Caenorhabditis elegans: one gene and its partner. The protein of the gene in region 1 purifies or fractionates together with the protein of each later gene. This does not show direct contact. Each region holds a gene or a part of one and is shown on either strand. Other genes may lie near its edges. The genes, in order: tbb-2 and ugt-49.

The links.
Region 2: the proteins of tbb-2 (region 1) and ugt-49 fractionate together in Caenorhabditis elegans (co-fractionation; one large-scale study listed by BioGRID). This does not show direct contact.

What each region holds. Positions count from the first base shown.
Region 1 is NC_003281.10:4,015,322-4,019,385, forward strand, and holds tbb-2 (Tubulin beta-2 chain), read right to left. Parts: upstream 2,307-4,064; 5' UTR 2,302-2,306; coding exon 2,136-2,301; intron 2,064-2,135; coding exon 1,545-2,063; intron 1,468-1,544; coding exon 994-1,467; intron 939-993; coding exon 745-938; 3' UTR 589-744; downstream 1-588. Other genes in the region: C36E8.4 (SH3 domain-containing protein), read left to right, coding at 75-227, 277-420. UniProt on the Caenorhabditis elegans protein: Tubulin is the major constituent of microtubules, a cylinder consisting of laterally associated linear protofilaments composed of alpha- and beta-tubulin heterodimers.
Region 2 is NC_003283.11:10,370,626-10,374,917, reverse strand, and holds ugt-49 (UDP-glucuronosyltransferase), read right to left. Parts: upstream 2,598-4,292; 5' UTR 2,579-2,597; coding exon 2,353-2,578; intron 2,308-2,352; coding exon 2,194-2,307; intron 2,149-2,193; coding exon 1,832-2,148; intron 1,783-1,831; coding exon 1,612-1,782; intron 1,566-1,611; coding exon 1,406-1,565; intron 1,301-1,405; coding exon 711-1,300; 3' UTR 657-710; downstream 1-656.

The DNA of each region.
Region 1 (4,064 bases):
TTCGTATCGAGACCGCGTACCGTATTTCTGCCGCGAAAAACCCATGTAAGTAGTAATCATTTTTCAATCTTCAGATATCCGACGACGGTTTCTACTCAACAACAACAACATCATCAAATGGTGGTCCTATTCGAACAACTACAACTTTCGATGAGCCCACTTCAAGTCCACCGACAATTTGTAGAGTTCTTTATGATTTTGAGCCGAAGCATGCTGACGAGATTGAGGTGGCTCTATTTAATTGAGATCTATATTATAAATCTGAATTATTTTAAGATTAGAGAAGGTCAATGTGTTCTTGTCGAGGATCGAATAGGAGATGATTGGCTCATTGGGCACGTTATAAGCCAACATGACAATTCTTCAATTGATCCACGATCTGGAAGATTTCCAACCACATATGTTTCTCTTAGGCAATGAGACTTTTTTCTTGGCGGCACAATAAAGTTTCCTCTTTTTGTTGGGTCACTCAACGAACACAATACAAATATTTGAGCGCTCGCATTTTTCTCAACCTTTCGGGTTTAAAGCACTTCAAAATGGAATTGAAGAGAGATTGTGAAAGTACATCAGACAGAATCACATTTTGATAGCATTCACTTCACTCAGATGCAAACTTTTCAGTGACTATAAAAAGTCATAAAATAATAACATTAAAAAAGCAAATAAATTAGCGAGAGAATTTTTTGACAAAAAGAAAGAAGAGTGATAGAGAAGAAGGGAATGCTTGAAAGGATCTTGCATTTATTGCTCCGATTCGTAAGTCTCTCCAGCTTCTCCCTCAGCGTATCCGTCGACGTCGTCTTCGGCAGTTGCTTCTTGGTATTGTTGGTATTCTGAGATGAGATCGTTCATGTTGCTCTCGGCTTCGGTGAACTCCATCTCGTCCATTCCTTCTCCAGTGTACCAATGGAGGAAAGCCTTGCGGCGGAACATAGCTGAAAAAATAACGTTTTTAAAACTGATACTGGATGATAGTTTCAAATTTCTTACCAGTGAACTGCTCTGAGATACGCTTGAAAAGCTCTTGGATAGCGGTCGAGTTTCCAACGAAGGTGGCAGCCATCTTGAGTCCTCTTGGTGGGATGTCACAAACGGCGGTCTTGACGTTGTTCGGGATCCATTCGACGAAGTAGGACGAGTTCTTGTTCTGAACGTTGAGCATTTGCTCGTCAACCTCTCTCATCGACATGCGTCCACGGAACATAGCGGCCACGGTCAGGTAACGTCCGTGTCTTGGGTCACAGGCAGCCATCATGTTCTTGGCATCGAACATTTGTTGGGTGAGCTCGGCGACGGTAAGGGCACGGTAAGCCTGGGTTCCCTTGGCGGAAAGTGGTGCGAATCCTGGCATGAAGAAGTGAAGACGTGGGAATGGAACCATGTTGACGGCAAGCTTGCGGAGATCGGCATTGAGCTGTCCTGGGAATCGGAGACAGGTGGTAACTCCGGACATGGTGAGGGATACTGAAAATTGTAATTATTAGGTTTCAATTTGGGTAACTTGTGCATAACTTAAACTTGAACAAGAAATAATAACTTACCAAGATGGTTCAAATCACCGTAGGTTGGGTTGGTGAGTTTGAGGGTACGGTAGCAGATGTCGTAGAGGGCCTCGTTGTCAATGCAGTAGGTCTCATCGGTGTTCTCAACAAGCTGGTGGACGGAGAGGGTGGCATTGTATGGTTCTACAACTGTGTCGGACACCTTTGGCGATGGTACAACCGAGAATGAGCTCATGATTCTGTCTGGGTACTCTTCGCGGATTTTGGAGATGAGAAGTGTTCCCATTCCAGATCCGGTTCCTCCTCCGAGAGAGTGAGTGAGTTGGAATCCTTGAAGACAATCGCATCCTTCGGCTTCCTTGCGGATCACGTCAAGCACATTGTCGACAAGCTCAGCTCCTTCTGTGTAGTGACCCTTGGCCCAGTTGTTTCCGGCTCCGCTTTGTCCGAACACAAAGTTGTCAGGACGGAACAGCTGGCCGAATGGTCCAGAGCGGACAGAATCCATGGTTCCTGGTTCGAGATCGACCAACACGGCGCGTGGCACATACTTTCCGTCTGAAAAAATTTAATTAATTAATCATTCCAACTAAACGATTTCGAAATCTCCAGAAAATTTTAAAAACTCACTGTTGGCTTCGTTGTAGTAGACGTCAATGCGCTCAAGCTGGAGATCCGTCTCTCCCTTGAAGGTTCCGTCTGGCTGGATTCCGTGCTCGTCGGAGATGACCTCCCAGAATTTGGATCCGATTTGGTTTCCGCATTGTCCGGCTTGCACGTGGACGATCTCTCTCATTTTTGCTGAAAAGGTCGTAATGAATTGAAAAACTATATTTAGATAGAGAAGATGAAGGAAAATAACAAAAGAAAGAGAACACGTCATGGTCGATATTGAAAAGCAATGATTCACGGCAAAAATTTAAAATTAAAGGAGTAAGTTTTTTTAATACATTGAAATTTGAGAGATGTTTAATTGGTGATTTGATTCTAGTTTATTGTGCTCTGAAATTAAATGATTCACGGCGAAAATAAGAAATTAAAAGACGAATTAGGAATAAGGTTGAATAAGGTTACCTTGAAAAATATAAGAGATGTTTAATTGGTGATTCTTTTCTATTCTATATAGGTTGATTCTAGTTTATTGCACTCCGAAATTAACTACTTTCGATAAAAATTTCAGCGCAAGTACCTTTCTATTTGCTCTAAAATGAGCCCACTTTTCATAATCGCTACCCCAAAAAGGAAACAAAAGGACGTTGTAGGAGCAGACATGCAGCTCTTGGGATGTATGGAATGGAGACGAAGAAGAGGCGGGTCGGGCGCAGTTGTGTCCGACGCTGTGTGCATTCGGATCGATAATCGCGAGAACACGGGGCGCGCGGCGCCCGCTCGCATTAAAAACCGCAGTGGCCACTGGGGCAGCAGTCGTTGTTGGACTGCAAAGGGTGGTGAAATCGAATAGACTATTGCGAAATATGCAGATATGGGTAGAATGGGTGAAGAGGAAGAGAGCAGAGGCAAATCTATTGCGAAACATACACAAAATGTCCATCAATTCCCTCTCTTTTTGCTTAATCCATTTGTTTTGCGTGTCACCACTAGGTTTGGCAGAAGGAGATAGAGCACACGACACAGATGGCTTTTCATCGGGTGCAATTTGGTGCTATTGGTTTGGGGTAGAGAGGGAGATGCCGCTTGGCGCGCAGTAATCCTATGGGAACCGAATGAAATGTGCTGGGGGCCTGCAGCTTTGAAAAGCCTTCAGAATAAAAGAGATGAAGACGAACCGTGAAGAAAAACGAGGGACAAAAACTAGTTCAATGCGATGGAAATCGTACCCCTGTTGACGGCTGCGGTGGTGGTGAATTGAGAATTGCGGAGAAAAGAGAAACGGAGATGACGTGGCAGTGACAATCGGCTTGGGGTCGCCTATACAATACGATACATATGCAGCCAATACTTCGTCACACATGCAGCCAGTCAGAGAAAGGTCAATTACCGTAGTACACGCGCCAGGAGACAATGTTAATGGGTACTATCTAGATCAGTTGCTGGTTGGATAACGATTTTAAAATACAATCCAAATCAACGGGAAGCTTCAAAAAAAAATTCCAAGAAATAACTGACGAAAAAAGTCGAGTTAAGGGTCGTGTGTCGGCGCTGGGGACGAAAAAGAGCTCTACTCTTACCCCCACTTTCCGTTGTCGATGAGACACATTATACCAAGCGAGAAACATAGAGACTGGCGCCGCCCGTGCTTCCCTCCCTTCTCCCGTCGTTTTTCTCTCCGCGCCCTCTATGTTTCGGATGGACAGGGACGCGAATGCTTTGTGACGGCCTTGACCAACGGGCGACAGCGGTGTCCCTTACCAACCCGCCACAGGCGAGGCATTTCAAAAAATGTGCCCATCCATCTAGCAATTTGAAAAGACGACGCGCCTGGCTTACGAAGTTAAGGAACTAGCCAACTGAAAAAGTGGAACTCAAAATATTAATCAGTTGCAAAGAGAAATTCTATTTCTGTGATTCATTCGGCGCCGAAAAGTAGAAACAACAGAA
Region 2 (4,292 bases), on another chromosome or scaffold:
TACACAAGAATAGAAGAAAAAGAACAAGAAGAAGGAGAAGAATAACTAATAAGGTCATAACAGTCACCTGCAACTTTTTCTAAATCAATAATTTTTTAGAATAAAAATTTAAAATGGGTTCCAAAATACTTTAAAACTGATTAGAACTGAACCGCAATATAATAAGACAGAACATTTGAAAAGTATACAACCTGAAGTTTATCAATTTATATAACTTTTTCATTCTGGCGGTGTGCTACTCGTTGTCAACTACGGTTTTTGGCAGAAAAATGTCGTGCTTTGTAAACGCAGAATGTTTTATTTTCAACAGGAAAAAAGATGATAATAATTGGAACACTAATTGATGGTAGAAAGTGGTTTCTTCAATTTTAAGGCATTGGTTGAAAAATCTAGCAGTGGAAGATGTTTTTAAGCTGTCTGGAATTTCCGTTTCTTGCACGATTCGTTTAACCCGTTGTTTTGGGCCACAAACAGTTTGAAACAAATAGAAATTCAAAAGCCAGACTTCAGATTGTCTGGAATCCGAAAAAATACCGGCCGGTACCACATTGACGCTTTTAAAATTTTTAGAATGAGGCCATAACATTGTAGAAAAGATTAAAGTCTACTTTCTATTTTCGTTAAGTCTTGTATGCTTAATTCACCTGAACACCTACTGGAAAATAACATTTATTTTTAATATTTTTATTAAAAGAGACTATAAATATCAGCTAATTATTTTTCTTAGATTTTTTAATATTCGACTGAGATCTCTTCTTACAGCACAGAAACTTGAAAGCATAAATGAAAACGTGAAGAACAGCAACGAACACGAATAGGACAAAAGCAATAACATCAAGATTATAATAAATAATTGTATTTAATCTTGATCCTTCCACGTGTAACTCTTCCAAAACGCCATGATCAATTGCAAATTGTGTCCATTTTGTAAGGCGTTCTTCTGGACTGAATGGCTTGTCTCTCATCATTTTCCCAATTCTTATCGCATTTTTTTTGTAACTTGGAGTGTTTAAAACTGTTAGAACTGTGTTTTTGAAGCTTTCATATCCAATATCCAATTTCAGAAGAACTTTGCCAATTCCTCTCTTTTCAACCATTCGTCCATTTCTAAATTGATCAGCAAAAACAGGAACAATTACAGTTGGAACTGCCTGGATAGCTGTTTCAACTAATCCATTAATTCCTCCATGCATTACAAAAAGCTTCAATCTTGGATGAGAAAGAATATCTACTTGTGGTAACCATTCAGCTACATCCACGTTTTTAATTCCTTCGACCAATTTCTTGGTATTATTGTCGCCTGCAAAAAATTAGTATCTTGACAAATTACTATGGGGGATTTATTTTTAAATTCTTCTGAAGCTTCTGCACTATTCGATGTACTCTGGAACCGTCAATTATTTACCTTTGGCAATTTTAATAAGGAAATGATAATCTGATATTTCCTGGATTGCACGCAATACCCCTTCCTTTGCCGCTGCTGGTAGATCTCCAAATGGTATGATTGAACCAAGTGAAATGATTACGACACCTTCTTTTCCTTTTGACATTATGTTTGTGAACTTCTAAAAAACTATATTCAGATAATTTTAAAATCAAATATTGTGTAACCTTATCAAGTGGTTTGCTAACTTTTGGAATTCCCAATCCACCGACATAAATTGCTTTTGTGATAGTTGGTCTTGGTAAATCAAGTACTTCATCGGAATTTACAAAGCAAAGTGAAGAGTTTGCAGCGATTTCTCTGACATTTGGGAAGTCTGGGATGTACTTACGGAAGACCTGTGATTAGTGAAAAAGATTAGTTTTAGGTTAAATTAAAATAAACTACCTCTGTAGTTCCATCAGTTCCGTATCTATGAATAAGGATTGAACCAATTTTCATATACAAGTTGAAAGTTCTCTGCCAAAAATCCATCTTATCACCATTGTCATTTTCTTCGATTGTTGGAACATACGAACTTGGTGCTGGAATTCCCAAATTATAACTAACTGCATCCATAATTGGTGTAGTTGAAATCCATAAATGATTTTTAATTCCAAGATATCTGACAATTCCAACTCCACACAAATCAATTTGTTCACTGAATGCCACGTCGAAGTTGTAAGCTCTCAGTTGTTCTAATTCCTCGCGTCTTGTCATTAAATCTAAATTTTAAAAAATGTTTCGAAAATAATATTGGGTCTTGTCACCATCACACGCGCCTGTGCACGTTTTCTCAAACATTAATCTTTCCAAAAAGCTTAATCTGGAGCTCGATAATAGGTATTCTCCGATTCCATCCATGTCTTCAGCAAACTTTGTACCTGAAACAGTGTTTTTAGTGTTGTTAGAGTCAAATCATAACTCACTAAATCCTTTCATAGTGATAACTTTAGCCTTCTTAGTTCCAGTGAATTCAGTTAATGGTTCATATTCAGTAATGAACATAACAACATCGTGACCTGCGTCAACGAGTGCATCAGCAATTCTTCCATTTGAAATTAAATGACTCCGACTTATGGATGGACTGTACACAAGAATTTTTCCTGCATCAACTGCTAGAAGAGATAGGAGAAGAAATAAAAAGGTATACATGCCCAAGATGGATCTGAAATTCAAAACGTTCAAATTCACGTATTATCAACTCCTGAAACTACTGAAAATAAAAAAAAGATTCAATAGAATGCACATTCGAAAAATCGAATACGAACGTGAAATATAACAATTATCTTACTGTTAAAAACACTTTGTGTGTCTTATCTATAAATTCTTCTATACCCATTTTCATCGAACCTTTATCAATTTAGTGAAAGGTCGATAAAATTCAAGAAGCTACAAAGAACCACGTTTTCACATGAATAGTACTAGAAATTCAACAAAATAAAAATTAAAAAAAACAAGAGAAACACACAGTGAAAAATGAAAAAAATAATCGAATCATGGAACGATTGGCAGCGGAAACAGAAATGAAATATGAAGGGAGAGAAATGGCAGACAGTAGCACCCTAACAATTTTCATTTCAATGAATCAGAATTCATTGGAGAATGAAGAACAAAAAATATATGAAAATTATTTTTTCACCTACGAAATCACAAAATGAGAAATCTGAAATTACATTTGATGGTTCACTTTTACAAACTCGAATAACCCATATTTTATAGAAAAATTTAAAATGCAGGTCTTTAATTTTTTAAGTTTTGATATTTTTAAAAAATTGGTTTCTTCACTTCTTAATACTGAAAGGAAATGAAGCATTATGGGAGAACTTTGTTCGTAACTTGTTCTTTAGGAAAAAAATAGTGCAGATGTCGTCTGGCACAAATTGATTCAACAATGATCTCGACAGTATTTTGACTTATTGGTCGAAACATCTACTCTAAAAAATACCGTGTTTTGTAGACTATTTCTAGTGAGTGCTTGTAGTGGTTAGACATAAGAATTAGATGGTGATACAGAGAAAACACAACCATTCACTGATACATTGACAGTTTTTGGACAAATAGTGACTGATGACAAGAATAGAAAATGACACGGGAACAAGATTGTTTGATAGGTAGAACCCGAGAATAGATTACTGATACGAGAGAGACGCAGATGGTTGTTGTGAATTGTAATAATTGAACTACATGTGACACGGCGAGAATGGTTATGGGAATTTTTGAGCGATTTTAAGATCCTGAGAAAAATGTTTGGGCGTACTTTGTTGGCAAACATGAAACAAGTTTACCAAACGAGGGAATTTTGTGGGGTAAGGTATGATTCCTGAATGCCAGAACGAAAATTCAGGTTTTTAATTCTTAAGTTTTGATATCATGAAAAAATGAGTTAGAAAGTTGAAGAGTATGGAAGAAACATACGCGTCTAAATAAGATGGAAAAACTCTATAATCTTCTGCAAGTATAGATAAGATATCAAATTCCTATTATGGACTGTCACTTATTTATTAGATATACCATTTACCTACACTTGTAAATCATATCTTATCTGCCAAGTTGGTACATCCTTACTATTAGTCTCAGGTCCTGACAATAATGATTTCAGAAAATCCCAAATGTAGTAAACCTTCGAAAAATAACTTATTCGATTTTTGAACTTTGAAAAGGGTTTCGGGTTATTCTCTGCAAACAAATACAAACAGCTTTCCTATCTGAAATATATATTTCAGATGTATACAGAACATGTAACGCATACACTCTAGCTACCTTATTACTGAATTTCATTGAAATCCCTATTAGTACTGCACTCTAATAGCTACTTTTGCAACACCAAACCGCAAAAATCCAAAGATTTCCAATACATATGTTTTAT